Alligator mississippiensis: one gene and its partner. The main gene of each other region encodes a partner of the protein of the gene in region 2 in a complex. Links are inferred from orthologs where the notes say so. Each region holds a gene or a part of one and is shown on either strand. Other genes may lie near its edges. The genes, in order: SARNP and THOC2.

Evidence for each region.
Region 1: THOC2 (region 2) and SARNP share a complex: the UniProt entries of both Homo sapiens proteins name them as parts of the transcription/export (TREX) complex. The link is inferred for Alligator mississippiensis from reciprocal best matches to the Homo sapiens genes THOC2 and SARNP.

Annotation. Positions count from the first base shown.
Region 1 is NC_081838.1:6,883,306-6,899,657, forward strand, and holds the start of SARNP (SAP domain-containing ribonucleoprotein), read right to left. Parts: upstream 7,110-16,352; 5' UTR 7,053-7,109; coding exon 7,017-7,052; intron 5,183-7,016; coding exon 5,083-5,182; intron 4,587-5,082; coding exon 4,540-4,586; intron 2,391-4,539; coding exon 2,323-2,390; intron 1-2,322. Other genes in the region: ORMDL2 (ORM1-like protein 2), read left to right, coding at 7,610-7,783, 7,884-8,035, 8,526-8,661; DNAJC14 (dnaJ homolog subfamily C member 14), read right to left, coding at 10,513-10,738, 11,181-11,283, 11,421-11,581, 11,957-12,076, 12,338-12,444, 12,871-13,962. UniProt on the Homo sapiens protein: Binds both single-stranded and double-stranded DNA with higher affinity for the single-stranded form. Specifically binds to scaffold/matrix attachment region DNA. Also binds single-stranded RNA. Enhances RNA unwinding activity of DDX39A.
Region 2 is NC_081831.1:71,264,864-71,280,531, forward strand, and holds the start of THOC2 (THO complex subunit 2), read left to right. Parts: upstream 1-7,008; 5' UTR 7,009-7,045; coding exon 7,046-7,116; intron 7,117-14,607; coding exon 14,608-14,663; intron 14,664-15,668. UniProt on the Homo sapiens protein: Component of the THO subcomplex of the TREX complex which is thought to couple mRNA transcription, processing and nuclear export, and which specifically associates with spliced mRNA and not with unspliced pre-mRNA.

The DNA of each region.
Region 1 (16,352 bases), on a different chromosome or scaffold from region 2:
CTATTTGCGTACAAAGGCTCACTCTGTTCTAGTTCATGGGACAGTCACAGGCAACTGTCACCAGGTCAGCACCAGCACGCCCTGCTCAGGATCCATTTCAAACGCATGCTTCTTTAACAACGTGCAGTTGGCTATAGCAGGGACCGGTAAAGAGACTAAAAAAAACTAGAATAGAGTGGGCGTGCTCCAAAGTTTATGCTGTGAAAACAGGGCTGAGGTTTGAGGTAGAAAACAAAGGAGGAAGAGACAAAGTTCGGAAGTTCCCAGGCTAAATGAAACGGCATCATCCTCCTCCAAACAACTCCCATAAAACAGCGGGTCATAACCAGCCTCATTAAGGGCTTCCATTTAGAGACATGTGCTGCTTTTGTTCCAGATTCCTGCACAGTTTATGCCCTGAAAGGTAGTAATGGTTTAACAACACTTTCACAGGAAGCAATTCTGAACAGGAACCAGGAATTGTTACCCCTCCGGCCCTCTCTGCAACTCTGTTTCGGACACAGGCAAAAGGCGCCCCCTGCTGTCCAAAAATCAAGTACTGAATCCCTGTCTGATTGAAGCGGTTCTGCCGAGGAAAGTTACTGCCTAATCAAATAAAGTTTATTTTTCCCTCCTGGCTTTCAAATGTCGGCAACAGCACTCATGCTGGCACCTTATACAGCTATTCCACGCAGAGGCCGAGGTCCCAGGCAGCCCAAGACATTAGGACGTGGCTTATGTTTAGCTGAATATTAATCACCAGGATCATCCATCTCGTTACAAAACTTACACCCAGATGGGCCAGAGAAGACGGGGTCTAAGAAAAAGGAGCCATCTGAACTACATTACCCACACAAGGCAACACAGAGCTATACTTTCAATGCAGAAGCACTTCATTCATCCCCCCTACGTCAGCTTCCATCAGGCAACACCAACAGCCTTTGTGTGTGTGTGTACATGCAAGTGGGCAGTCAGGGTGACACCCACCCCCTGCAGAGGGCCAGCACGAGGGCTACAAATTGCTCAAGCACTATTCTGATAGCTTTACTGAGGCTTTGTTTTGGCCCTCAGCAGAGAAGCACATTTCATCCCCACGGCATTTCATCCCAGTGCAAAACAAAAGTGACTTTGTCCATTTCCCAGTCAACCAGAGGTGCCCAAGAAGCTCCTACTCACAACCTGCATGCAGTAACTGGCAACACATACTCAAACATGTGAGATCAGCTGAGCAGGAGACTGAGAGAAAGAATCCAAGTCCAAGCTGCCGCAGCAACACTACCTCCACTGACAGCCTCGCACAAGCCACTGTCCCTCTGCGGCCCTGCTCTGTATCCAACAGAACAAGGAAGGGTTTCCCTGCTCTGCCTTCCAGGGATGGACCAGGGTCAGAAAAGAAAGGTGAAAGCACTACTGATTCCTACTCAGCTTAGTTGTCAGGGTTCACCAGGTAGAGCACCACTTTCAATTCATCTCTCTGCACAGACAAGATACATCGTTGCAAAGATCAAAACCCGAGGATTCAATTCCTTTGCACTTTCTGGCAGTAAAATCTCCATGCATGCTGTATCTGCAGCAGTTGCTAAATCACCACCCTGAGCTGCCAACAGCTATGGATGTGGATTGGTAAGAAACCTGTACTGAGAACCGCAACAGCAAGTGCTTGTGAGGCTGGATACTAGCACAAGGTTGTGGGAGAAGCACCATGACAATGCACAAGCGAGAAAAACAATTTATTAGCTGGCTCCTTCTCTCTTGCCAGAACCATGGGTCACATGAGCAAAAGGGGAAAGAGATGCAGGGTGATGGGAGGAGGAGCACCAAGCCAAGTCAGAAATAGACAGATCACTCATGCTTAGCACTGGCATCCCCAAATCCTTCACAAACCTAGCCCAGCATCCCTGAAATGCAGCCTGCTTGGAGATAAATGGCAGTAGCCAGTACAGCAGGGATGCGAGGGCCAAGGATCTGGGAAGAGAACCCCACTCTTGCAAAGGATGTTAGCTAACTGCAGAGCAGAAGGGACCTCTGTTTCGAAAATCTCCTGAATATCCACACAGAGCGAAATGCAGGGAAGCCACATCTCTGCCAGGGGTCCCAAGGCTAAACCGCCCTGCCTGGAGGTGAGCCTGCAATTCCCAGGTGCCCCAGGCTTTTCACAACTGACATTTATTGCCCCAAGCCACAGATCTGTCCTACTGGGTTACTGTGATGTAGGCTCCTTGGACGCACACGGAAGGGAATGGGTTAAGGTCCACAAAATGCTACCAGCTCCCTTCCTAAGCACTCTCTTCCTGAGCTACAGCCACCCCAGCCCATTTCAGCCTACACAAAATGGATAGTTACACATCAGCTTCTTTTACAGGAGGCTCTTCTACTTTGACAGGAGGTTCTACTGGCTTCGGCTCTTCTTCCTGCAATTCAATGAGTTGAGATGGTGAGTCAGATTAGTATTCCAAGCAGCTGAGTAAGTGCCAGAGGCGCTGTATGGGGGCAGTCAAGACTGGTGAAGCTTAATGGGTTTAAAAGCAAAACTGCATGGGAACAAGCTCTTCCATATTCCATACTGGATTCAACAGGCCCACGGCCCATCAGTCACATTGCTCCCTCGTCATCTCAGCATCAAAGCCAACATGCTTTCCCCTGTTCCTTGAGGGAGAGACAGGCCCTGGGGATCTAGCAAGCTACAGGGGAATGTAAACCCTTCTAATATTAGCATGCTTCTAGCAGGGCAGTTTGTTGCTGGAACTCCTGTCTTCTGCTGCAACTGGCTGGAAGAGCTGAAGCAAATGCTCCGAGGAGCATTTGTTACAGAGGGCTGTTGTCCAGAAATCAGATCAGGACACCTAAGCTCTGGCTCCTTGGAAAGTGCAATACAGCCTTCCATCTGGGCATGCCCCACCAACCCACATGCAAATATGAGAGCACACTTTGGACAACAGAGCTATGTGGTGGCACACTATGAGGATGGTTACATTGGAGAACTGTAAAGCTCTATTAATAACAAGACTTAGTTTCACGTGCAGTAAAATCACTGGAGCCACCTGAAATGATCTTCCGGGTGGTTTTAAATGCCCACATTTTGTATTTTGGACTATGCTTATATTTAACAGCTATGAAATAACAAGCGTAGGAGTTAATGAAAGAAAAGGCTGAGATATATCCCTGGCTTCTCTTTATGACTGGCTCAGACTTAAGGATATGTAAACTGTAAAACTTCAGGGCCTGATTCTGCAGTCATCCTGGAAACTGCTGATAGGTAGAGTTACATGGTTGCTTCAGTGTTTGCAGGGTGACAGACTTACTTTAATATTAGCAATCCAACTGTTAAGAACCCAGCATTTAAGTCTCTCACTGGGTTTCTTACGTTTCAAGGCGTTTTACTAGCTAAACACACAACATATGTACAATGACTGGCATCAGGTCTGCTGCTGGTGTATGCAGGTGAAATACTAGAGCCACACCTCCTTGCATCAGTTCTGAATTTTAGCCAAGATGCCACAGGCCAGAGATTTTGTTGGGCTTGAAGACAACTGCCAAAATTTTGTGTCTGCAGTATCTTTTGTCTTATCAGGCTTTGGAACTAGGAGATAAACAAACTGAGTGATATTAGTTTTTGCAACGCTATTGCCACACAAGAAGCCTCCAGCTTCCTGAGTACAGCAAAACCCGCGTTATCTAGCACCTTACAAACTGTCACGCTCTATTAACCATTTTGCTCTATTAAACGGCATGCCGGTTTGTGAGGTAAAAGTGAAACTGGAAGTGCCCACCATGGCATTTCTGGTTTCACCGAGCACCCACAGCCCAGGGCAAAGCAGTCTGCGCTGCCACCCCTCCCTGTCGCCCGGCACACTGACGCGGCAGCAGGGGCAGTGCACACCGAACACAGCAGGAGGGGTGGGACAGAGTAACCAGCCTCTCAGATAACAGGCATGTTTGGTTATCCGGCACCCCTCATTCCTCATGGGTGCCAGATAAAGCTTTGCTGTACGTGGAAAATGCAGTTGGGATGAGCACCTTCTCAAAGGAGAGAGTTGGAACCAAATGATACATATGACCAAACCCCAGCGCCACGTCTGCAAATCTCATTCTAACCTTCTACTAGAATATTTTTCTGCTGGAAACAGGAAAGATGGGCAGAAAGCTTTAAGTACTTAATGTTAACCCACAAGGGTGGGCCTTCACCAACTTGGAAGGAGCCTGGCCCTAAGGAGAAAGAGAATTAGCACTGCCAGGTGCAATCACTCATTTCCATGTTTTCCAGCTGATAAAATTTGCTGTCCAGGGGTGATGGTGGCCTGGGGATATGCCCATTTACTTCCTACCCAAGGCTGGTTAGGAAATGTGTCCAATTCTGTAACACGAGCCAGGTTCTAAGATTATGCCTTCCAAAGAGCCCTGCTAGTAACAATGTAAAGTACACCAGAAAGTTCCACACAACAGTGAAGCAGATCCATTACCTGATCACAGTGCCAGAGACCAGACAACATCAGGCAAATTAGAACAGAGCTATGCCCAAAGACACTGATAGCGTGATAATCTTGTGGTAATAGGACTTACCTCTGTTTCTTCTCCCAAGACATCTTCTTCATTAGCCTCTTCTTCAGCTAGAAGAATTTAAAAAACATCCCACAGATAATTGCTACTGCAAATCAACAGGCTGGCCTGAAATAGAACTTGGATACAGACTCCTAGAATGCTGGTGTTCTCCACACACACCAAGAAATCAGTGCTGAGAGGTTTCTATTCAGGTTCTTCTTTCAGGTAGCACTGTGATACCTGATTACATATAAGACATGCACACTGCAGCACTCTAGAAAGTGCTGTTTAAGGCAGTAGCACTGGGAGCAAAGGAAAAAAAAAAAAAGAGCCTAACCTTAAGATGGGCCCAGTCTTGCTCTGGCTCTCCAAACAGTACCATCACTGTATGGGAGCTCTGTCTGATTAACACCTGCTGGATGGAACCCAACAGCAGGAATGCTCCAAGGACCACGATGCCAAAGAGCTCTCTCCTCAGAGGCTGCAGCCCTGAGACACCCAGTCAGCATTCTTACAGCAAGCCCAAGCCCAGGAAAGTTGACTCCAGCAGAAAGCGTGACCTACCGTGCTCCTCAAGGTATGCCTGGAGTCTGTTTATGAGGTCCTGTTTGTTTCCTTTTGCCTCCAGGCCACGGGCTGTACATTCCTGTTTCAGTTCAGCAAGCTGCATGAGAGAACAGCCTTCCTGTTAGTACACGTCACCCATGTGAGCCATGAACGGGCTAGACCCAAAGCCAAAGAGGGACGTCAAGGGCATGGTCACTGACAAAGGAATAGCAACACGGCCAGCTGGTCAAAGCAGGGGGATTACAAGCCTGGTTGCCTGGATTCCTCCTAGCTTTGATAACTCTCTCTACATGGCAGTCACCAACTGCTGAAGCTTCCTTAGCCTGACGAAGGGTTTTTGAACCCGAAAGCTTGCTTAATAACTATTCTCCAACCATTTGGGGTGGTCTAATAAAAGATATCAAATTCACCCAAGGAACCTTGTCTGCCTATGTCCTTAGATCAACACGGCTACAACCCAAACCCCTCTACATGGCTATAACACTTACTTAACCCGCTCCCCTTCCCCCCCACCAACAACCAGGAATCCACAAAACCAAGTGGCCATGGCACAGTGCTGCCCTAGACAGAAGTGAGAACATCTCATACAATTTCTCCATCTCTCAATTTCCAGTATTCTTCCTGTGCCTTCACTTCCCTCCATTAATAAAACTCCTCAGACCCCAAAAGTTGAGCAGGAGCTCAAGGAAGACCAAGGATTTACTGTAAGTAGAGGACCTGATTCCACGCTGTCTCTCAGCATGACAGGCCCGCTTTGCATCCTGTGGGTTTTATGCTGTCCTGAAAGCAGAGTTCACACCCCACGTGAAACAAAACTGGCAGAGGAGTTACATTTGCTTGCTGTGTGTAACAAAGCACCTTTCATCACACCTGCTAAGGGTAACTAACCTCCACGGTCATGCCAAAAAAAAACCAAGCTCTGAAGACCTGGCAATTACCTCTTGCAGCACCTAGGCACTGTGTTAATGAGCAATTGCAAAATACGAAGATGGTGAAACTTCACAGGAGACAGCATGGCATGGCATGGCAGAGGCTCTGGGGGGCCTGCGCCGAGGTGGAGCCGGAAAGCAGGTTTATGAAACTTGCCCTCCGCCGTGTCAGTGATTTGTCAGCGCCTCGGACAAGATACTTCATCCCTCTGGGACTTGGCTTCACCCAATGACATAAAGATACGTCCCTCTACGTCACAGTCCACACAGATTAAGGTGAAAGGCCACGTCTCTAGGAGATATTATTTATTCCACCGTACAGGATACGCGAAAAGAAAGACAGCCCTCAGATCACCGAGTCCACCCGCCAGGGCTCAGCACAGCACTCCCCAGAGGACCCTTTAGCCAGTCTAATTTTCGGGGTCTCAAGCAGGCCCCAGGGCCTTCCTCTCGCTCTCTGCAAGACCGTTTCACATTCAGAGCTAGCCACTGCCAAAGTACCACATCCCCTCTGGTCTTTGGGCGCGTCCGCAATCGTGACGTATCCGGGGAAACGTCCTTATTCTCCGACCAGGGATGCACCGAACGCCTCTGCACACCTTGGCACAGGTCCCTTGCTCGCAGCAACCAGCGTTTACCCTCCCTATAATCAGGCCCTTCCCAAACCGGGCCGGTCCCCAGACAAGCCAGCAAGAGTCGGCTTTTGGGAAGCCCACGCAGAGGAGCCCACGGGGGCCGCGAGAACAAAGGTCCACGAGCGCTGCGGGAAACTGGCCTCGGCTCAACTTCCCCCCTCCGCCATCTGCCACCACTGAGGCCAGCCCAGCTCCATCCCCCCCCGCAGGGAGGTGAAGGCTGCTCTTCCCTGGACTCTCTCCAACGTGTCCTCGTCCTCTCCGCGCTGGCGCCCGCCCCCGGACACGACACAGACGAAAGGGTCGCGAACAAGCTTCAAACATGGATTCCCCTGAGCCAGCCCGGATCCCCCCACTCCGCCCGCACCTTCAGCTTGTGCAGCTCCACGGTCTCCGCCGCCATCTTGTCGCCCCCTCAGCTCGCCGTCGCCCGCCCCGCCCCGTCCCGGCTCCCCGGCCCAATGGAGCCCCCGCTTGCTACCGGGTCGGCGCCGCCAACCTCGCGCCTCGCCATTGGCCCAACCCCGCGGCTCGCTATTGGCCTGGCTCGCGCGATGCGGGGAGGGCGGGAGTAGGCCCGAGTGGCGCCCCCATGGACCAATAGGACGGCGGGTTGGGTACGGAGACGACCAATAGTGGCACAGGGGCGGGCGCAGGCACTTCCTGGAGACGGAGCCCGGCATTGGGGGATTCCGGTAACCGGCGCGGCGCCGCCAGGTGGGGGGAAGGGAAGGCGGGAGGAGGAGGAGCTGAGCCCGGACTCCTGGGTCCTTTCCCCAGCCCACTGCGGGGGCAGCACTAGGCCTGGGCGCCTGTGTCCCCCCCACCGCCTCCAGCACCGGGGCGGGGAGCAGCACCGGGTCGCAGCCCCGCTTAGGGCGGCCCCTTCTCCTGCTCCCAGCTCGCTGGAGGGGATCGGTCGCGCCCAGACCGGGCGAGAGCCGAGGGGCCTCGTGCAGGATGAACGTGGGGGTGGCGCACAGCGAGGGGAACCCCAACACGCGCGTGATGAACAGCCGCGGCATCTGGCTGGCCTACGGGATCCTGGTGGGCGTCCTCCACATCGTCCTCCTCAGCATCCCCTTCTTCAGCATCCCCGTGGTGTGGACCCTCACCAACGTCATCCACAACCTGGTGAGGCGCCGCGGGGGCAAGGAGCTGGGGGGGGGGTCCCTCTCCCCGGGGCCAGCCCCCCCCTTACATCCGCTTTCCTTCTGGCGCTGGAACCCCGCAGGCCATGTACTGGCTGCTGCACACCGTGAAGGGGACCCCGTTCGAGACGCCGGACCAGGGCAAGGCCCGTCTCCTCACCCACTGGGAGCAGATCGATTACGGCACCCAGTGCACCTCTTCCCGCAAGTTCCTCAGCATCTCGCCAGTAGTCCTGTGAGTGCCGCTGCGTGCGGGGCCTCCCTGCCGTGCTGTCCCCTTGCCGGGCTCTGCAGGCCGGGGCGGCGCCCGAGGCTGTTCATGGCGTGAGCGTGGGAGGGCTCATGGCAGGGGACACGTTCCCCTTGCAGAGGCCGCTGCGATCCTGAGGCAAGTCAGGCCGTGGCTTTAGCTTCAGTTACTCATCGCGGGAATGGTCAGTGGGACTGGGCCCAGCTCTGATGCCCAGAAAGAGCAGGTGTTTTCTGCTCAGAGCCAGGAAAACTGCCTGGCCTGGTCTGCAGCGAGCTGTTGGGCCTTGGGCCGCATGCAGGGGTGCCAAGGAGCAGGTTGCACTTGAGCACTAAGTAGAAACACCGCAGGGCCCGGCCTGAGCTGCGTGGCTCCTGGGATGATTGCCTCGCGTGGAGGGCTCCAGTCTCTGCCAGTCCTGCCTCCCTGCCAGACTCTGGCAGGGCACTGAACCATCCTCGCTGTTCTCTCCTAGTTACCTCCTCACCAGCTTCTACACCAAATACGACCCTGCGCACTTCATCATTAACACAGCCTCGCTGCTCAGTGTCTTGCTCCCCAAGCTGCCTCAGTTCCACGGGGTGCGCATCTTTGGCATCAACAAGTACTGAGACCCAGCCTAACTTCCACATTGCCGCTGCGGGGAGGGAGCAGGACCATGTGGACATCTGGAGCAGCGTGCACTCCGCAGGGAGCAGACGAGGCCAGCGAGGGAGCAGGACTGCCTAGTGCCTGCAGCGCTGCTGTTTGTTGGGGGAAGTTCCTCTCTGAGCCCAAGGCAGCCAAGCTGTCTGAAGCGAGCAGAGTGTGTAAGCTGCGTCTGCACGGCCCCTCTGAGCCAGCTGAACTTCCCAGAGCCACAGGCTGAGGGGAGAACTGCCCAGCTGGTGGAACAGCCACGTTGCCTTGCCCCCCTCCCCCCCTTTTCTATGTTCCTGCCATAATAAAGCCATTCAGGACACTAGCATGGAGCTGCTGCAGGGGCCGGGGCCGGGGCAGTGGGCTCAGCGCCTGCATGGGCTCAATACGAGCGCCCAGAATGGGACACGGTCACTTCAGCAGCCTGGAGTTCACCCCAGCACCATGAGTGCAGCAAAGTGGCTACAACCACGTGACCCACCAGAGCTCTTGTTTTACTAAGGAACCTCTGCCCTGCCGGAGCAGCGCCTGCACAGGCTGAGTACGGTCTCCTAGCCCCGTCCTAAGGCAGCAAGGCCATCAGGTGCCCCTTTCCTAGGCAGGCACTATCCCTGCTAGCCAGCAAGGGGCAGTGGCAGCCTAGGGAAGAGAACTCAGCATCTGGCTTCATGCTGGGGGGGGGGGGGGGGGCCCTCCCACAGAGCAGGGAACAATGAGGCTCACACAGTGGCAGTGAGGGGGAGGGGAGCTGGCCTGGGCAGGCTGCCAGAGAGACTCCATGGACAATGGAGACCATGCAAAGTTCTGGGAAGGACAGAGTAGCTGCCCTGCCCTACCCCTTGCTGGCCAAGTTCCCCACCCCCACCAGGCTCCTCAAGCCCAGCAGCATGCTTTGTTCTTTCCCTACGCCATCCCCACTGCTAAGCTCCAGCACCCTGGCCTCCCTGTTGCCCCTCCCCCCCACCTCTGACCGATTTGCTGGCAGCCAAGACCAGGATCCCAGTGGCACAAGTGTCCCTGGCTGCCACCCAGGCAATTTCTGAAGCAGGGAGCAGAGTGAGTTCCCCTCTGGGACCTGGTCCTATAAACTTCTACTGAACAAACCCCAGTCCCTCCCAAGACTTGCACTAGGACACCAGCACCTTCACCTACTTCCATATCAGGAACCAGGCCCCTACTCTGCCTCAGGCCTTCCCACAGCCCAGGTGGTGCTTGAGGGAGTAGAGGTTCCAGCCCAGGGCACCATGTCTGACTCTGCCCTTCCTCACTGCCCGGGCACTCAAAGGGGAGCAGGGAGTTTGCCTTGGACTGTCCTCCTCCACCCGCAGCACAGACACACACCAGCTGGGCTCCTGGAGACACTGGCGCTCCCCCAAGCAGATTTATTTGGCGCAGGTGGGGAAGAAACCATTTATGTGCCCCCATATGCCCACTAGAGGGGAGCACAGGACCTGCAGGACATCCCAGTATCTCTGGGGACAATACAAAACCACCTCTAGGTCCCTGGCCGACTCTGCTCCCGCTGGGACAAAGGGATTCCACAAACGCCCTGGCAGCTTGGGACACAGAAGGAACAGTGCACGGAGCTCTTTGGTGCTGGCCCCAGGGAAGCTGCTCCCAGATGCTTCTAGCTCCAGAGAAAATGCAGGTTGGTAAAGAAAATAAAATATAATAGGTTTTTTTTTTATTTAAAGAGCCCTTATAGTGCCTGGGGAAGGGCACAGTCTCCCCGGGCCCAGGATATGCCTGGCTGCCCGCCTGCCACTCGCAACAAGGGGCTTAATCTCGCTCGCTCCCACAGGGACAAGTCCAAGCTGCCTCCCTCAGCGGTGGAAGGGCCGACGCACTTTCTTCCGTCTCTTGGGCTTCGCATCCCCCTTGGGGGCAGCACCATCTGTCTTTGGGGGTGTAGCTGCTGCCCCCGGCGGCGGTGGCTGGGATGGGTTGAAGAAGCCCCCATTGGACATCGGCCCAGGGCTGCCCTGGAAGATGCGGCTGAAGAAGTCTTGCAGGTCAGCGGCCGAGGCGGGGCTGCCCTTTGAGGAGGCTCTGGGGAGAGAGCAGAGCAGTCAGGCCCAGCATAGGGGGAGGGGAATCAGAGTTGATGTGGGGAGCCCTAGGCTGCACCCCAACCTGCCGCTCCGCCACTCCACGGTCATTGGAGAAGCAGGGCCACTGCTGGGCTCCCTAGGGCCAGATACGTTCAGCTCTGTCCACACCAGTCCCTAAGTTAGATGCATGCCCTCCCCCAGGCAGTTGATAACATATGAATACAGCCAACAGCTTATAGGGAACATCCCCACCTGCCCAGGCAGCCTAAGCCAGGACCCAATGGCCTGCTTAATGCACCCCCAAGCAGCCGCATGGGGCAGGGGAGGGGCAAGCAGGTGCTCACATGGGACCCCAAAGAGCCCCAAGGTCGTAATCACACTCTTCCCCTCTCCCACCTGGACTCTGGGACACTGCAAACGAACCAGCCGGCAACACCCACCTTTGGCGTCCACCCATGCTGGAGCTCCTGGAACCGAACGATATGTGGTAGGGGACACGGTGGGTGTTGGGAGAGATTGGGACACGCTGGCAGCCAGCCCATTCTGCAGGGACAGAGAGGCACCATCAGCTGGGTGGGAGCTGTCCCGAGGATGCAGCGAGGGGAGGAGAGGGGTACTGGGTCTGGCATGGGAGATACAGGATAGGGCAGAGGAGCCGCAGCCCAGCTGGAGTCCAATACCTGTGATGTCATAGACCTTCCTGTCCATCACAGCGAAGTAAGTGATCTTCAGTCCCAGCAAGCTGGACTCGGCCCAAAAGTCACCCTCCTCAGCAGGGTGCAGCGTACCACAGTCTGCGCAGTAGCGGGCACTCAGCGGGTCCCGGTCCAGCTCGAACCGTCTAGGGCAATAGGCAGCTCTTTCAGAGCCCGGGAAAGCACGGATGGCCTCAGGCTAGGCAGCCAGCCTGAGCACCCTCTGCCTCAAAATGTTCTAGAGGCCTGGGATGGGGTCCCAAGCCCAGGGGCAGGTTGGGAATCTGTGCCCTGAGGCACTGCAACCTGTCCAGAGCAGGGCACCTAGGCACAGCCACTCTGCTCAGGCTCCAGCAGTTGCCCGGCTCTGGAGCTGAGGAAATCAGAGCACCAGCCCTGTCCTCTGGGATATGCGCTCACAAGTTAGATCTGCAGTGCTGGACTGCAGCAGGGGGACCCTACACAGAGCCCTTCTTGGGGGCAAGGAGGGCTCTGACCTGCCCAGGAGTACCAGCACCTACTTGTGCTTCCCCTGACACCGGCTGCACATCATGGTGTTCATGGCCTCCTTTAGGTCGTCCTGCAGCTTGGTTAAGAACTCATTCATGGACTGGCTCAGCTCGCTCTCCGCCATCCGCTTGCTGCCATGAGAGCAGGCAGGGGTCAGGTCCCAGCCCTGCCCCCCGACACACACACTGGCTGGAGGCGGCAGTGACCCAGGGCAGCCACCAGGGCAACTCAGAAGACCCAGAAGCCAGGAACCCAGTCCCTCCTCACCCCCCAGCCCTCAGGAAAACAGCCGGCTCGGTGTCTCAACAACTGCTGGGTCACCATGCCTTGCGCCACCCACACCCCTGGCTCTTCCCTGCCTTGCCTGAGCAGGCAGCACCCGGCACACTCACAACTCATACTCCTTCCTCTTCTCAGGGTTGCTCACAACATCCCAGGCTGCCCGCAGCACCTTGAAGGCTTCCTCTGCCCGCGGGTGCTCATTCTTGTCAGGGTGAACCTGGAAGCATGGGGATCCCAAAAAGCACAACTAACACCTGCCGGCTGGGGGCTGGCCAGTGAAAGATCCCCTTTGGGGGCAACCCAGGAGCCCCCCATCCCATGGTCAGAGCCAGTATGGGCATGGAGTTACACCCAGATCTGGCACTTAGTGCTAGATGTGGGCAGCTGCCATTCCCCAGGGGCATCACCAATGACTGGCTCACATGTGGGCCTCACAAAGATTCTGAGCCCCTACTCCAGCTCTTAGAGGGGGCCCTGGGCAGGTCAGTGCCTTGGCACATCTCGCTCTGCAGCCCAGGCCACAGTAGGGAGAGGCTGAAGAGCCGCAGTGCCCAACTCAGCGCTCTCACCCCAGCAAGATGTGGCCTTAAGGGGACATCTACTGCCTGAATATGCCCTCCCCTTCCCGCCAGGTCGCTCTCACCAGCACAGCTAGCCGGCGATAGGCCTTCTTCAGCTCTGCATCTGTGGCCGTCACCTCCAGGCCCAGCACTTGGAAGGGGTCCAGCTCCTCCTCTGGCACCTCTGCCATGGCCAGCAGCCGGGCCACCTCCTTGCCAGACTGGCAGTCCCCGGCTGCGCTGGACGCACCCCTATCAGGGCCAGCCTCTCCTCCCAGCCCCTCTGTCCTGAGTTTTGGGGTGTCCCAGAGGGGAGCTCCACCCTTCCGCAGCCAGCCCCACACATACTTGCAAGTCCTGGTTTCCTTGAACAAGGTCCATGTCCTGTGCAGGAAGTGTGCATCTAGGTGCGCAAGCAGCCGTGCCACACCATGGGTCCCACCTAGCTTACCCACCCCCGCCAGCAGTGCGCCCTTGGCGCTGCACCAGCACAACCGCAGACGGGCCAGGCCCAGGCCCAGCATCGGCAGCAGCAGGGTACAAAGCATCCGCAGCAGCCGGCATGCCTTAGTCCCCCAGGAATGCAGGATGCACCCGGCTTGGGCTACACTGCCCACCATCCTCCGCCACAGCTGCTGGCCCCACGTCCTCACACTGGCCTGAGCTGAGCTCAGGTCCCAGAGCCAGGGCAGCAGGAATATAGGAGCCGCGCCCTGGCCTCCACGTATGTGCGGCACTTGTGGGTGACTAGCACCAGCAGGTCGACAAGTGTCCAAGCGCAAGACAGGCAGAGCCGGACCAGCTCCCCTGCGTGCCCCGGCTCCTCGGCGCGAAGGTGGAGCCGCCTGTCCGCATGGCTCCTCCTCTGCGTCTGCTTGTGCCTTGTGCCCTGCCCTGCCTTCCCGTCCGGTGCTCTCTGCCCCCTCCTCCCTGTCCTTGGTGGCAGAGCAGTGCCTCCGCCGTCTTCCACTCCTCCGGCAGCCTGGTCCCCGGCCGGCATCGCACAGGTCATTGGGGGCCCCAGATGTGCCATTGTCCTCCTCAGGGTCCCGCCACAAGCCCTGTGGCTTCGGGTCAGCTCTGCCTTTTGCACCAGAGGCCTCCGAAACCCACCGCTGACAGCTCGCACTGCATGAGCTGTTCCTCTTCTCAGATAAAGCCTGGGGGGGATCCATGTTCTCTCCTCAGCAGCCACAGGACCCGGCCAGCTGGGGGCCAGGGCTGCCAGAGCACAGAAAGGGCACGTTGTCTTCATCATCCTCAGCTGAGAAGGGCCGCGCTGGGTCACAGCTTCTATTCCAGCTGTCGCTCCCATCCACAGCGTAGCCTGCGCTCACCATGCTGGGTCCTGAAGGGGTCAGAAGGGGAGAACAGCCGACTGCCAGCCCATTCCCCTGCTCCTCGGCCGAAGGTTTGTCCAGAGACAAGTCATCTTCCCCAGGGGCTCTGGAAGCAATAACAGCCGACCTGCCAGCCCCAGCTAGTCCCAAACCGCGCATGGTTCTTTGGAGAAGCTTTGGCCAGGGCTGGCTCAGAGACAGGTGTGCAGAGACGTGTTCTCTTCTGCTTCCCAGGCAGAGAATGGCCTTCAGGAACGCTGGGCTCCAGGAAGATGGGGGGGGGGGGGCAGGGACACGTTCTATATGACCTCAGCAGGGGTGCTCGATCCACATGCAGCAGCTGCCCCCGTGTCCGACGCCCAGCTGACCCCTTGGGCTCCCATTCTCAGCCCCATCCCCTGCGGATCAAAGGGAAACAGGTGAGGCCACGGCTGTCCCCTCCAGCCGCCAACCCCCACCCTCTCCGCCTGGGTCTCCCCCCGCCCACGCTCGGGTCCCGTCTCCCAGCCCCTCCGCGGCCTCCGGCTGAGCCCGAAACCACATCCCTCTTGGCCACGAGGCCCCGGGGGCCACGCGGGCAGCGCCTGGGGCAAGAGCTGCAGCCCCCTCCCCAGTGCCCAAGGGCCCCCCCTTCCCCAAGAGCCCCCCCACTTCCTGAGAGCCCCTTGCTCGAGCCCCCCCTTACCCAAGAGCCCCGGCCTGCAGCAGCTGGCCCGCGGCAGCCCCGGGGGTCCCCTCCGCCAAGGGACCCTTCCGCGCCGTACTTCCGCCTTCCGCCCGCCCCTGCCAACAGCTACCTTCCGCTTCTGGGGTAGAGCTCGCGAGGCGAGGGAAGGGGACTGTGACGTCACATCCGCCCGCGCCTCTGCCCCGCTGCTTAAAGGACCCGCGCCCCTTGCCGGTTGGGCGGGAAACACCTCCTAACTACGTCACCGTGTGTCCCCCCCCCCCCCCCACGGGCAAATTGAGGCACGGCCCCGCCCCTGCACCTGGGCGGGCAGACGGCAACAGCCGCGTTTCCCAGCCCCCCTCACAGGGAGAACCCAGGCGGGGTCCCAGCCCCCCCAAGCCCCCCACTTCTAGGGCAGTGGGGCTCCCAGCCCCCCCCGCCCTAAATCACCCCCAAAGGGGTGGATGGGGAGACAGAACCCAGGCGTCTGGGCTCCCAGACCCACCTCCTCCAGGGCAGCCCACTGTACCCAGGCGGGGAGGCCCCTGCACAGTGGCCCTGGCCCTGGGGTGACCCTGACCTGGGCCCAGGGCTGCCCCGGGCGTGCAAGGCCGGCAGTGCAGGGCTCGTGCCCTCTGCCCCGCACCCGGGCGCACACAAGCACCTCTGTCTGGCAGCTCCGAGTCTGAGCTGTCCCGTTCCCGGGGCCGCGGGCAGCGCTCACCCCAGACCAGCCTGGGCCTTGGAAGCCACTTCCGCGCCCCCCGAGGGCTGGGCGCAGCTGGCGGCCTAACAGCCCGGACACCTGGGTTCTGCCCCTGCTCCGGGAGGGGATGGGGTCAGGGCCCAGCCGCCTGGGTTCATCGCCCGCATGGCTGCGTGAGCTGGGGCGACCACTTCCCCTTGCCCGTGACTCAGTTTCCCCTTCGCGAAGGTGGGGAAGGAGCAGACCCGGGTGGGTGGCTCTGAAGGAACCCAGCAGTCGGGGCCTCTGGCCAGCCCCGGTTCCGGCGCCCAGGGACACTCTGCTTCTCCAGTTACCCAGATGCTGGCGGGTGCCAAGGCCCAGGCACTGGGGTGGGGGGAAGGAGTCCCTGGGCCTGGCCCAGCTCAGGGGGAGGGGGGCCGGGGAGAGGGTGAGAAAATCCTGCTGGCAGCAGGCGCTGGCTCCTGCCCAGCTCCTCTGGCTGCTGGGAACAGCCCGTGCCAGGCAGGGGGGGAGGGGCAGGCAGGGCCTAGGGGCAGGGGGCTGGAGCTGGCACAGGGGGAGGGGACGTGGGGACACTGGGGTTTTCCCTGCTGCCAGAGGGGAGTGGGGTCCAGTGGTTGCCCTGCTGGGAGAGGGCAGTGGGGTCCCGGGGGGCATCCACAGCCTCTTGTGCCCCCATCTGCTCCCTGCTCCCAGACCAGAGTGGGGCAAGCCGCGGGTGCCCAAAGCAGGGGCCAAGCGCCCGCCCAGGGCCGGGGGCAGAGACTGGGCAGGCAGCAGGTGTCCTGACCCCCTGATGCTGTAACCACTAGACTTGGCTCACAAAGGCTTCAAGCGAGGGGCTCC
Region 2 (15,668 bases):
CTCTGACTGTTCCTCTTTTGCCCAGGTTACATTGATTCAATTTAGTTAGCCAACTTCCTATTTCAAGTCAGGGACAGTCTTTTTCCATTTGTTCCTTTTGCTGGGTACAGGTCTTGACCACAATTCAAGCTCAGCATGCAGTTTGAGCTGAGCCCAAGCATCAAACCCAGACCTAAAGGCCTTTGGATTCCAGCAATTCCCCCCTGTGACAACTCCTCCATGGAGGGGTTATCACACCAATGTACCTCGTCTTTGTGGAGCGTATACCTCTGTTCCTCCGATATAAAGACTCATAGTGGGGGTCTAGTAGAGGTTAACACAACCTCTGTGAAACTGATAAGCTTGGCAGTATGTCCAGTCAGTTAAAACAACAACAAAGATGACCATAGCAATTTGGGTTATCTCCACAGTGGAGTGAAGCATTAGATTTAAAACTCCTTGGGCAGTAGGGCTCCATCTCAACAAAACTGCCCACCGAGAATGTCTTGGGACTTTTTCCATTACCTGCAAAACTTTTTTATTATTATGTTTAATCTGTACTATGGTTTCATGACTGCGCTGTTTAATAGAATTTACCATGGCATGCACATCGGGATGAGACAAAACTTGTTTTAACATTGGCAAATTTAAACCTAACTCAACTGGAGTAATGGTTTTATAAACCCATAGTCTAGCCCGGATACTCTGTCAGCCAACAAGGCACAAAGTATTTGAAATTACAGCTTTTGGTAGATGAAACATTACAAAAACTTTGGTTAATGGAAAATGTCATTAAATACAATCAAATTTGATCAAGCATTACATAGCGAGAATGTGTTCGTATACAAATACACCCTTTTTCAGCATGAACTACTGCAGAATGGTTTTCACTAGTCATGTCAAAAACATATTGTTGCACATCATGTTGCTCATATAGATTATGACAGGGGCAGGCAATTATTTTGGGCGTAGGGTCACTTACTGAGTTTTGGCAAGCCATCGAGGGCTGCATGATAGGCAGCCGGGGCAGATAAATATTAATTTTCTAAATTTTTTAGGGGCCCCGCAGGCCAGATAGAATGGCCTGGCGGGCCACATCTGGCCCCCAGGCTGCATTTTGCCAACCCCTGGATTATTATCTTTACACACATTCCACATCTTCATGAGTCAGGCACACTTTCATATTACTTGTTTTCCATGCACCCACTCTTTATATGCCCACTGGTGGTGGTATCGTGGATACATGACAAGTCCCTCACTAACTTGACCCACCGACACCAATGGGTATATAGTAATTTGAGAATTAGCATCAAGTGACTATATAAGTAACAATTCGTTGTGCTTCCTCATAGACAAAAGAGATCAACTTCCACAAAACAGAAAGGTCCCTTTCTGCCACAGAGGTGTGATCCCACACAGTTTTTTTCAGTTCAATAGGAAGGTGACCCTGAAAGCCTGAACAAAATATTTGGATAACTGTACTTTGACTTAGGACCTGTGCCTGGATGCAAGCTAGTGGCAGGGAGACATTGTATCAAAGTAGTGTGCCAATGGCAGTGATAATCACTTGATTATCCTCTGTAACATGAGTAGAATGTCTCCCACCAGTTCGTCTTCCTAGGCGGGATAATGATCCAACAAAGGACCTTCTAATCTTTTGTACTTCAGCAGTAGTGTAGCTCAATTTGTTTGCCAAAATTTTGATATTGGCACTATCTATAAAACAGCTACTTCAAGTCCTGCTCTAGCAACTGTGGTCAATAGCACATAACACTTTGTTCGTATGTGGACTTGGGCATTATTAGTGTTATCGGGGTTGCGCAATACCACCCGTTTCCTCTTGTACTCTCCTGCCACAACTTTGGTCTTATGAGGGGAGGAAAGAGATTGGTATGAAGTTAATTGGTACTTGCAGGATAACTTCCCCCGACATGTTAAGTCACTCCGCGTATTTTTTATTCTTTCTTTTACAGCGGCCCGAGTTGCAGGCAACAGCCTTGTCAACTTTCTCCCAGAACCGCTCGTCAGCTCTGGAGTGGATTCCTTCCCTTGGGAACTTCAAGGTAAGTCCCACCAGTGCTCCGTGGTGCTAATTAACTCATTAGCTAGTGCAGCTACAGTCTCTTTGCACTGTTGCCAGCGTAAAACCCCGGGCAACTCTTTTTTGGTTACCCTTCCAGGTTTGGCTGGGGCTGGTCAGTATTGCCTGTGCTCAGCCTCCCTCATGTTACTGAGACTTTCCCTGGTTTTCTCTTCTTCTTTTCTCACGCTGCCGCTCCCTGCCGGTAATTGATCGGTTTGCGGCTGCGCTCATTAAGCCCTGCTTCCCGATTCCCTCCTCAGGGTTGGTTTCGAGGCCTCACAGTTCATCAGCCTTCCTATAAAGAAACATAAAACAAAGAGCTCCCCCCTTTGATAGGGAAGTTATTGTAGCCTTCAATTAAAGCTAGCCATTTAATAATTTTACTTTTTGCCATTTTTTATCCCAAACATCCAATGATAGGCTAGATAGCTTATAGCTAGGGTACCAGCAGCCCTTAATGAATGTGGGAGCTGGCAATTTTTCAATCACTTCTACCCACTAGGCACCTGGAGTTCGACCGTGCCATTGATTCCTGAATATATTACCCCCTGCTGTACTAGTTGAGGTTTTTTGTCTGTTAACTTTAAATCCTGTATCTTGAATAATTTATAATAGTGCACAGATGACTTCATAAATTCTTGCATGGGTCCATGAATTAAAACATCATCTACATAGGGTATAACTGCAGTTTAGTATTGATCGGGCAACTGTTCCCACATTTCAGCTTATTTTTAGCCTACCCCTTTGGGTGCTGGCTGGCTAACATTTTTTAACATCCCCTGTTCAGTCCCAAGGCAACTCCAAAACCTGATTTATTTTAAAGGCTGCACACTGTTGCCCCTGAAGAATTACATGTAGATTAATTATTTTTTGCTTCCCTGTAAAAATAAATGTCTTGGTTTGGTAAAGGCATTTTGGTTTCCTTCTCATTGAATCCTTTAATACTATATTTGCCTTCCAGAATTGGAAAGGGGAGGTCTCATTACTTATAGGAAAAGAAGCACCTGTACTTACTAACACATCTTGCCCAGGGGTTTTTTTGTTTTTTTCCCCTTTGCACAGTATAACAAGCATTTTACTAACTCAATTGTTGGAAGGCCATGGATTTTTCCTTTTGTGTAATGTTACATGGGAAATGCATTTTAGCCTGCAAAACAAAATTAAGAAACTGCCAGGGCAGATGCCTCACTTAACATCTGGTTATAATTATTAGGGTTTTGCCCCGTTTTCAAGCCTTTGATTGTGATGTGTGGACCCATTTCAATTTGATTTCCTTTCTCTTTGACTGTATTTTAATTTGATATACAGTAGGACTAGCCTTATTTACAATTATGGCAGGTCCAGCCCTGATGGAGCACAATACATGGTTTTTTCCCCCAGTAAGCCTGGTACATGACCAGGGCACCAACTTTCCATTTGACAGGTTTTCAAGTGGCCCAAATTGTCTGTCCATCTGATTACATTTTACCTTTAAAGCTTGGGCATCTGCATTTTTTTCTGCCAGTCATGGCTTAGTAGGGAGTGATTTCATGGGCAACTGTTGTTTTTGTTGCAAAGCCCTAATCTTTGTCAATCTTTGTCTTGTTGGCTTACTACTTTTCTTAGAGCCAATTTTTAAAGTGCGGTTTGCCCTTTTCACTTGTTCTGGCCACAGGAGAAACCCTCCCCCGTTTGGCAGCAAGGGACCCCTCCCCCCCGATTGCTGACTGTCCACTGGGGGTGGTAAGTGCCCCCCCAACTCAGAAGGCACCAGGCGCCCATGGACTGAGGTGAGGCTGACTGGTCTGTAGTTCCCCAGATTCTCCTTCTGCCCTTTCTTAAAGATGGGTACTATATTTGCCTTCTTTTAATTGTCTGGGACCTCTCCCAATCATCATGAGTTTTCTAAGATGATGGCCAGTGGCTCTACAATCGTATCAACCAGCTCCCTCGGCACCCTTGTGTGCATCGCGTCCAGCCCCATGGTCTTGTACAAGTCCAGCTTTTCTGATTAGTCCCTAACTTGTTCTTTCACCACTGTTGGGTGCTCACCTTCTCCTCAAACTTTGTTACCAGGTGCAGCAGTCTGGGAGCTGATCTTGTCTATAAAGACAGAGGTAAAAAAGATATTAAGTACTTCAGCCTTTTCCACATCATCTGCCTCAGTCATTAAGGGACCCACAGTTTCCCTGATCTTCCTCTTGTTGCTGACATACTTGTAGAAACCCTTCTTGTTACCCTTCACGTCCCTTGCTAGCTGCAACTCCAATTGCACGTTGGCCTTCCTGTTTTCATCCTTGCATACCCAAGCAATACTCTTATACTCCTCCCTAGTTGTTTGTCCAAGTTCCCACTCCTTGTAAGCTTTCTTTTTGTGTTTTAGCTCACTGAAGAGTTCCCTGCTAAGCCAAGCTGTTCTTTTGCCATGCTTGCTAGTCCTTCCTGCGCATTGGGTTCCTTCAGGTTTCTTTAAAGTACAACCAACTCTCTTGGACTCCTTTCCCCATCAGACTGGCCTCCCAGGGATCCTGCCCATTAGTTCCTGAAGTGAGTCAAAGTCTGCTTTTTTGAAGTCCAGGGTCCATACACTGCTAATCTCCTTCCTTCCTTTCCTCAGGATCCTCAACTCAGTCATCTCGTGGTTGCTGCTGCCCAAATTGACATTTACTTCTACATCCCTCACCAATTTTTCTGTGTTTGTGAGCAGTAGGTCAAGAAGAGCATAGCCCCTAGTTGGCCTCTTCTGCACTTGCACCTGGATATTGTCCTCAACACTCTCCAAAAACTTCCTGAATTGCCTGCGCACTGCTGTACGCACTCCCAGCAGGTGTCGGAGTAATTGAAGTCCCCCATAAGAACCAGGGTCTGTGATTGGGAAACTTCCGCTAGCTGTTTGAAGCAAGTCTCATGCATTTCATCCTCCTTGTCAGGTGATCTATAGCAGATACCCAACGTGACATCATCCTTGTTGCTCTTCCTTCTGTCCCTAACCCAGAGACTTTCAACAGGCCTAACTTCAGTTTCATACCGGAGCTCTGAGAAATCATACAGTTCTTTTATACAAAACGCAACTCCTCCTCCTCTTCTCCCCTGCCTGTCCTTCCTGAACGGTTTGTACCCATTCGTGACAGTGCTCCAGTCATGCGCGCTTCCACCAAGTCTCTGTTATTCCAGTCAGGTCATCGTTCCATGATTGTGCAAGGATTTCAGTGAAAGTACATAGGTTATACTGCATTAGAAAAAGAATTGTGTAAGAAATCATGAAAGTGGCCACATAAAAATAAGCTTGAAATGTATGCATTTAGTTCAGCTTTTTAAAAAACTGGCACATCCACTAGTAATAAATAATTGACAAGTTTTGCATAAACAAGAATTTCCTAATGTTCAGCATTACTGTCAACTTCAGGACACTTTTGTAAAATGCAGCTGAAAAAATCTGAAAGTGACGTTTTTTCTGTTCACCAAATTGATTTCTAATTTTTCAGGCACAAATCAATGGCGTACATGACCAATCCTATTTTTGGCAAGTCATATCTAAAATCAGCAGTGACAGCACATGTAAGGAATGCAAAGAGCTCCTAGTGCAATAAAGAGAAGCACAGGCAACATTGCTGATTAATATTTACCACTTCCATGTGTTTTCCCTGGGAGTGACTGAGATTTAAAAATCAAACCTCAAAAAAACAAAGCTAAAAGTTTATTGTTTAATGCTCAGATCTTGTCTTGTCCTTCAGGGCGCTACGTTTGCAACAGGACTTCCACCATGAGTCTTTATAATTTGCAAAACAGTCATTACAGGCAACCTCCGCTTAGCGCTGTTTATTGGTTCCCGAAAAACCAAGCGTTAAGCGAAACCGAACGTATTTGATGACCCACGACCACAATTGTTTTTAATGACCCGAGATGGTGACCGTGAGCATTATAACGAAACTCACTGAGTGCTAAGTGAAATCAGGTATCAATTTAAAATGAACATTATAGTGAAATAGCACTAAGCGAAAGTGTGAAGTGGGGGTTGCCGCAAGTCATTCGATTGGGAACACGGGCCCACACAGCAGCGGTTAATCCGGTGGCGATGTGTAGGGGTGCATCCCCTGACCGGCTGCACTCTCGGTGTAGGTGACAGGCAAGCGGGGCAGGCGGGAGCGTTGGTGCTCCCCCTGCGGGCGCCAGCTCGGGAGTGGGAGCGCTGTGGCCGCTTCCTGGTCAGTGTGATCGGCCGTGGGGGACCCCCCCATTGGTGAGATTGGCCGTGGGAGGACTCCCCCCCATTGCTGACTGGTCCCTGGGGGGGCACTTGCCCCCTAACTAAGGTGGCACCAGTCGCCCATGGGCTAATTAACCTTCCCCATTAGTAGGGGGGCTATTGGGTAGTGTTAATTGAATGAATGGGATGAACAGACAAAAGAGGGAGGGGAAGGAGGTCGATGGCTCAGAAGGGGTGCCCCGAAGGGCTGGGCAGTGGGAAGGCGCACGCCGGCCACCTTGCAAGCGACCCCGAGGAGCCGGCGGACGCGGCCCGGGGAAACCGGCTGGAGCTGACCAGGGACAAGAAAACGCCCCCCCGTCCCCAGGGGGCCTCTGGCCAGAGCCGCCATCCTGGTCAAGCAGCCCGCGAGCCTAGGCCACCACGGGTCACGACAAGCCCGGGCGGCCGTCAAGCTAGTCCGTTGATCCGAAACCGGACGCCTGTACAAACTCTGCTTTTCTCGTCAAGAGAAACCGGACGCCTCTATTTTTCCTCTTGAAGAAAAATCCCCCCTCCCCCCGCTGGAAAGATCATAGCATCCAACTGAAAAGACGCCGCCGTCACTCGCATCTCGGCCGCACTTCGGAGGCGGGAACACCACGGCACGAGCGCGGGGCTCGAACCCGCGGCATTGGCGGGGAGGCGGGAGCGGCGGCTCCCGGCGTGCCCCGCGCGCGCTTCCCGGCGTGCCCCGCGGCCGGCCTCTGACCCCGGCCGTCGCTGCCCATCCGGGCTCTCGGCGCCACACGGGGAAGATGGCGGCGGCGGCGGCGGCGCTCCCTGCCGACTGGATAAAGAACTGGGAGAAAGCGGGCAAGAGCGAGTTGTGAGTGCGGGCCGCTGCCTCCCCTGCGCGGCCGGGCTCCCCGGCTCCTCTCCGCCCCTCCCCGGCAGCGGCCTCTGCCCTTGTGCCGAGGCCAGCGGAGCTGCGCGGGGCGGGGGCGCCCGGATATCGCAGCTGCGTTTCATTGTGTTTCTGAGCAGCCCCCTGGTGTCACCACCCGGACCAGACGCTCGCGGCCAAACGCGCGCGGCTCTTTTTAGGAAGCCCCTTGCCCCCCTTCCCCCTCGCCCCCGGCTTGCTTCTCTGCCCGCCCCCGCCTGCCCCCCAGGTGAGGGGAAGGGGGCGCGGCTGGCTCGCCCTGCCTCCATTTTGGAGGGGGGAGGAGTAGCCTGGTCGTCAGGTCCCTGCATTGTGCGAGTCCTGGTCCCGTCCAAACTTTTTTTGTTTTGGGGAGACCAAAAAACTAGACGAGGGAGAAATCGTAGGTCTCTGGCAGCACTCGGAGTCTAAAGCGACGCTAAAGTTCAAATTACTTTTTAGCTTCCCCTGTTTTGGATTACGTCTTGACAGCTGAATTCATAATCAGATTGAGCCGGATTATGTCCTGGGGTAGATAGGTTTGCGGCCCTTTTGTTACAGATCGCTTATGTTCTGCTGTCGGTGGAGGAGAAAAGTGGATAGAGAGATGCTTACGAATGGGTATAGCCCACCTGGTTGCATAAAAAGCGTAGATGTAGATATACTTACACTTTAAATCTGCTGTTCCCAAACTCTGACAGCACACCACCGATTTAAAACAATACAACCTTAAGTACCACCCAGCACATTTTTCAGTTCGACCTTAAGTACCACAAGCAAAGTTTCGTCGTATTTCTATAAAATACATATTATGATATAATTATAGTACATCTCTTAATGCGTACCATATAGATAAAAACGCATGTTATAATATGAAGTAAATATGAAGTAATTATAGTACATCTCTTAATGCGTACCATATATAAAAAATGCATGTTAAAATATGAAGTAATTATAGTACATCTCTTAATGCGTACCATATATAAAAAATGCATGTTAAAATATGAAGTAATTATAGTACATCTGTTAACATGTACCGCTGACGGGTTGTCTGCTATGTACCACACATTGGGAACTGCTGCTTTAAGTCATCCATTTGAGTTAGGAGCTGTTTCATATGACTCGATATTGAGCTAACTGACTTGACGTGATCATATCTTCATTATAATTATTTTAAGATTGTGCATCAGTTGAATTTTCAGCAGTTGCTGTTGAAGAGATCAGGTTAGCCCGGCCTTTGCCTACTGAAGAGCTCAAATTGTAGGCCATTTGTTTAACACACACTAGTTTGTCTTAACTTTTTAAAATGTACTCTAACCTAACCCTTGGTACTTGCAGATAACATGTATACAAGATTTTGGTCCATTCACGATGATATACCAGTTTAACTGGGACAGCGTTTAAACTGTGTTTAAATTTTGTTTGGCAACTGTGTTTAAGGACTCCTTTAAAAAAGACCCCTTAAACTGAAAGTGATCTCTGATTATCTGTGTGCTTGGGTAATGAGGTTGTACAACATAGTTTCATCCAGTGTTTTAAACGTGTGTAAAACTTTTTTTAAAGTGAAAAAAGACAATCAAATATTTGTGAAGATTCAGTGAACAATGAAAAAGTCTGGTTTTGTTTAAAGTCTTTACCAAGTGATTTCAGAAACTGCTATCATTTTGAAACACTGATTTACCACCTCTGCTAACAAAATTAATTATTGAATGTGTTGACACTCCAAAATAAAATAATACTAGAGATGAAGGATTAGTAACTCAATCAGTTTTCCAAATGCAGTTCTATTTTATTTCTATTTGAAGACATGATTTCAGCTTTAAAAGAGCTTGCAGCTTAAATTTAAGGCTCCTAAATTGCACTGCACTGCTTTTGCTCTCTTTTCAGTTAAAAGTTTGCTCGTAAAGGGTGGATGGCATGTGAAATTTTGAGGGTCAATATGATGGTTCAAAACATTCGGGAACCACTGACTGAATTAAATTAAATTGTGTAACGGTAGGAAAAAGAGAGAGGTATAACAAGGATTAACCTTACAATTCTAGCAGGTAAAGTTAAGTGACAGATCTTTAGTTTATTTTTTTAAGAGGAGGCTTTTAGTTTCCAAGCAGTTTGGAATTCTGTATTTAAACATGATGAGACCTCTCACAAGAAATGCAAAATATCAGCCTTTACTTAACGAAAAACCAGAAATGAACAAGATGACCAAGAGTTGGTCAACAGGAAGAAAAGCTGAGGGTAGACAGGACAATTTTAATTGCTTGTCTGTAGGGTAGCATATGAAGTCTGACAAAATCAGTTTGAAATGGTATGTTAGTGAAGTTATTAGTTATCTAAATATGTTACTTCATATGCTGTAAATTGGTGACCTTAATTGCTAAACTGAAGCAGGGTGAACAGTTCGTCTTGCTTAGTGTTTTGACTGTGACCACTTCTTGTTGATTCTGTCTCTTTGCTTGCTTTCCATAACTTCTAGCAAGGAGGTAGTAGTCAGTTAGTTATTCTTTGAAACTGAGTGGGGGTTGGTGCTTTCTCATATATAACATTGAATAAAAGGGTAGGGATCTGTTATGCTCTAGATCTAGAACTTATATGTTGATGGCTCTTATAACATTATCTTAGCTTCTACAGCTACAAAAACTTTTGTTTTTAACTTGTTTTGATAAGCAAAAATGCCAAATGTGACAATGGAGCGTTCTAATACGCTCCAAAATGCAGCACCTGTAAACTGTTTTGAACTATATAATCACCTATAAATTTTGTATATTTTAAAGAAAAGTAATATTAACTTTAGCACTGACATCAGGTAACTGATGATAACAATTCTGGACGTATCTGTGGATTGTCGCTATTTAGCGTAATAATATCACATGGAGTAGTCTGAGTGGTCACAGGCATCCATGTTTTAAAATTATTATTTAGAGTAGTAAAAAAAAGTAAGCTTGTTTTAATGAGCTAATTTCTGACATGTAATAGTATGTCCTCTTTACATTTTCTATGCTGTTTGGCTCAGTCCGTCTCTGGCAGTTTTCCTGTTGAGCTGACCAGTATTGTCTCCTTGAACTTTTTCATCTGTATATGTATCTTGTCTTTAAATTGTGAGCTCACTGGCTTAGAGACTGCTTTTTTGCTGCACTGTATCTGTACAGCACCTAGCACAGTGAGATCCTGCTCTGTAACTGGGACTTCTGGACATGACTCAAATAATAAATATGAATAATGGCATCTTGATTTGTTTTCTGATAGGCTACAATGTATCCTGCTCTTTCAGTGTAGCTTTAATAAGCCTTCTTTGGCCAGCAGCTTATGCATTTTGTTCATCTTCAAAATAAACTAAAATAATTTATCAACCCTTTGAGTCCAGTGTTTGAGAATCCATCCTGCAGACACCTTAAGCTTGTCTGTGACCACTCACAGGAAGAGTATGAATAGTCTTGGTTAGTGCTTTATGCACAGTACTAAGGGTCAGAAAAACAGAGTTCTGGTCCCAGCTCTGCCATTCTACGTAGAAGAGCTATGCTGTTACTGTGTTGACAAAAGGACTACCCGCAAAAGTAAAGTTACGTATCTTTGTAGGTTTAGGACCTTTCTGTTGATTATTTCCATACACAATTTTTCTTCAGGGTAGGCAGGAGTGTTTTTCAGTGGATAGGACATTGTATTTTGTGCTAAGAAGTCTGAGTCCAATTCTGCCTCTGTAGCCTTCACTTCTGTTCTTCATATTTGCCTGTAACATGGAGATAACAATTCTCTCTAAAAGACTTGAGATCTGTAGATAGAAAGTTATTTATAAGGACTGCTGACATCTTCTTACAAAGTTCATGGTTCTGTCTGTGTTCATGGTATCATTAAAGAGACTACCCTATCCCTTAGTATTGTTCCTCAGGGAGTCTGTGGGTTTTATTTTTTGAAATTACTGAGTCTTCTGATTTTTAAGTTAAATTCAAAATGTATAATACAGTTTTAAGACCTGTTGCAAATGAATGAACACATGCTTTAGTGGAATGAAAGCATGGATAGACTTTAGATTTGTTCAATGCACTACAAAAATTATAAAAAATTCCTAAGGGGGTTTAATGTTTGTGTGCACTGGTTGGAGGCAGTACCAGTAAATTGAAGTGAGACCTACTTTCCTTTTAAAGCATAAAAAAAATATTAAAATACTTGGCTTTTTGTTCCAAAAGTCTTGGCTTTAGTCCCTTCAATATTTACTTAACTTTTGTTACATAAAAACACAAGGTTAAAATTGACCTAGTTGGAGAAAACTTTTGGGTTTGAGTATTAAAAAAGATTGTTTATTCCACCTTCCCCCACCCTCACACCCACCTTTGATCTCCTGTAAACCTTATATCTCTTTCACACTACATATGTAATATGTTCTTGCAATACAGCTCTTTGGTATAGGTGTATTGGGGGGGAATTTTTTTTTGTGGGGGGGACTATTTTGGATTGTCAGTCCCTAAAAAAATAATGAGGTGCATCACTTTAATAGTGACACTAGGTCTTACATTATTTATGCTATTCAGTTATTTTAAAATAATTTACACATTTAAAAATTTCCTTAGAAAGGGCTTTTATCTGTCTTGCGTTCATTGCATTTATTTGACTTATGCTTTGTCTCCTGTGTTCCTTAACCATAAAAGTAACCAATTTTGTTGACATCATTTAAACCAGGCCGTTATGTGCAATTTTCATGGCATCTTTGCAGCTTCTGGACTCTGTTCTTGCTATATATGCCTTCTGTTGGCCCAGGCCTTGCTCCTTTCTCCATTTGCTTTCTTCTTCTTAACATTAAAAAAAGAAAAAAATACTATGGTGCTTAGTATGTTTTCATTTTAAAGTGTTCTTAAATTTAGGGTGCTCAAAGATGTCAAATTCAGGGATGTGGGTAAAACTTCACTTCTAGCATGGCTTTTTGTATGTACTGCTCTCCCTATCCAAAGAGTAGCTTTTCTGGTGTGCATTTGCTCACACTAGAAATACTTTGGTATATTTATGCTGGTAGAGCAATACTAGTGTAGATGTGACCTGGTTTGTATTTTCAGTGTCTTAGACTTTGTCTACAAGGGGAAGTTTTATTTACCACCCACTTCCCTGCTCTCTCTGGAATGCTCTTGCTCTAGTAAAAAAACCCCACGAAAATAAATTTTATTTTCATTTTAGCTCAAACTCCTCCCAGACATTGTAACCTAATTTGAATAAAAGGCTTCTCTGTTGGAGCAAGAGCCCCTACATGGTAGGATCATTCTGGTTTAAATTTACTGGTATAACTTTTCCATGTAGACAGTTCCTCAGAAGAGAGTTTTGTAGCTAGTAAGTGCTAAAAAGAAATTGTGGGATATTTTGTTTTTATTTTAACAATCTAAGTTGCTGTTGTAATAAGGAGTTCTTTGTATATAGTTTCTTTTCAATGTATAAGTCGGTTTGATGGTGGTAGAATATGATTGATGTTGAGGCTTCATGTTTATGTTGTAGTCTTTATCTGTGAATACTCTGTGAGATGGAGATTAAAAATCGGGTTTCTGCTTCTGCACACAATATTATTCTTAGTGTCCTGATTATTTGGGAAGAATTTACTGCTGCCTGTACAGAACAAATTGAAATCCTTACTCCTGAATTAGGTATGCTTTGGTCTGGTAGGACCTATTAACAGTACAGTTGTGACTTGTCATTGCTAATGTCAGAAAACCTTTGCGTGTGTGGGCTGAAGGTTTGCCCAAATGAATCCTGTTGTCAGATCTAGAATTTAATTTCATTAGCTTTAAACAGAGCATAGCAGTGAATGCATGTAGCATTTAAGAAAAACTTAAGTAGGCCTAGATTAGATTGAGATCTAATGACTTAAAAATAGTATGCTTGATGTACCATTTTCTGTAAAAATTTAAAAAACCTATTGATCTTAGTTTTATAATGAATAGAAAAAAAATCAGCAGTGGTGAAAGAATAAAATAGACCGCCCTTTCAACTACCTTTAGAGCTAGACTTCCATATATGTTGTGGATTAAGTTAGAAACAATCTATTGTATTCTGTTCTGTAACTGTAAGACAGTTTGGGGTAGACTCTCACTTTTTGCAGCAGCAAAGCTCCTACAACGTAGTTGCTCTCTGTGCCTGCTGCTTGCATTATATTTAAATATGAAACTAGCCATTTTCTTAATGCCTTACTCAGCATGTACACCTTTTGGTTGTTAAATGGTTTCCTTTGATTGATGGAACAGCTGTTTGGGCCAGATTGCAAGGCAGTGGTATACTGGTTACAAACAACATAACTGACTGGCTACTTGCTAAAGGAGCTCTCTGTTTAAAAAAAAAAAAAATAGTGTTATTGTTGTCATGATATCAGGCATTGTTAGTATTTCACCATATAGGTTTATATAAATCAACTAGAAGAATATATATAGGTTTATATAAATCAACTAAGAGAATACAGTGATAATTTCCAGTAGGAGAGAATATCATAATTATACCTTCTACTACAGAGAAATGGCATAGGACTGATTCATTGTTCACATTCCTAAAAAATGTTGGAGTGGGATGTACCATACAAGGACTTGTAAGTTTAACATGTGTGTGTTTCATGAAATGTCAGGAATCTGATGTGTGTAGTCTTTTTTATAGTTTTATAAATGTAGAGAGTTACCATTTTATTCGTAGGTTGCTGCTTTTAAATATAAATTACAATCCTAAAGCCTGATGTCTCAATGAGAACATGTGATCACTGCTGCCTTGAGGAACTTCCTTGAATCAAAATCTGGCTTGTCTGCAAAAGTCTGTTGCACAGACATTTCAATTAACACTGTGCATATTTTAAGATGATTTTTTTTTTTATCATCCACCATCCATTTTTGTTTTTTACAATGCATACAGGATACAATGACAATTTAGAAAGCTGTTTGGGTAGACTTGCATTTTCTTTAATGCATTTCTACAAAATACTGTGGGCATTTAGAGGGTAAAACTGATCAGTACGTACTTCTCTTTCTATATTTTTAATTTCAGGTAAACATAAAGGCTTTATCAGTGTGCTTACTGAAAATGTTCATAAGGAAATCATGCTGGTACTTTTGTATTAAAAAATAAACACATTCTAGGTATTCATATGGTTCACAGTTCAATAACATCCATCACAAGGCTACCTGCTTGTCATTGTTTAATCATGTGTTAACGTAATATTCCCTTGCCTTCATTTATGTCTTTATGTTGCCTTAATTTCTCAGTTTTCTGCTACTGAAACTGAGAAAGTATAAAGATGAGGTCTGGAAGCCCTGGTTGTATATTGGAGGGAGATCCTGTTGTTCAACACTGACTGTTCTAGCTTTGTTATCAAATTTTCTGTTCAGTTTTGAACTTATTTTATAGTCAGTATTATCCAAGTGTATGGGGCAGTGCATTTTTGTAGCTGACATTTGGTCCTGATTTTTGTAATTTGAATTTCAAACAATATTTCTCTTATTTCAGTTTGCAGCTATGCCGCACTCTCAGTGACAGTAAAAGCCATGATATGAATTTCAGAGGTAAACTGATTTTTTTTCTTCTTGAAAGAAAGCTTCAATAATCTTGTAGAGGATATGTGTATAAAATCCAATCGTTCCATGGGTACATGTGCCTTTGTGACTTCTGTGATTATTAATGCACTCTAAGGAGGGAAAATATACAAATAGCAAAAGTTACTTGCACAGTTTCACTGTACCCCAAATCCTGATGAGAGAGCAATGCCAAGCTAGTGGTAGACAACTATTCTAGTCCATGGGTTAGAGAAGAAGGAAACTATCCTTCCTGTTCAGTGCCAAGTTCCGGACACACGGCTTTCGTTTTTTAGAAAACAACTGTTCCCTCAACAAATGTTCTCTCTCAAATTTGTGTGCAAGAAATTCTTGACATGTATCGAGGTAGCTACGTAATTCAGAGAGCAAACATTCGTGCATGTATTCAGTTTACTGAATGTTGAGAAATAATTCTCAGTTCCAAATTCCAGGAGGGGAAAAAATTAAATTTAAACATAGAATTTGGATAACTAAAATGGCCAGTAACAAACGATAGCAACAGTTTTGAAACATAAGTGAGAGAAATTGCATATTTGTTTCATTTCTGCTCTCCTCCCTTGGAAGAAGCTGCTCCACGTAACTGAGACCATGAAGGTGTTTGCTTTGTTTGGATGACGTCTGGGGATCTCGTTAGAGGAGTAGTTTTAGGAAACTATAAAAGCAGAGGGAATTCTTTATTGTGAAAAGCAAAGGGTCATTATAAATAACTTAGTTGAATTAAATCATTTACTCTTAAAAAATAATTAAAATTACAAAAAATAGTCCCCATGTCTGTCTAGCATAAGACATTGTTTTAAGCTTTGTAAGCTTAATGGCCTTAAAATCTGTTGAATTCTAGGCAATCCCTTTCCTGTATTGATTTTTTTCTCCCCCTCCCCCCACCAGTAAATTTGAATTTCAAACTTTCCCTGAATTTTACCCAGTTTAGGAGCTTATTTTATGTTTGCTCTTGCCTGAAAAACCTAATTAGATTCT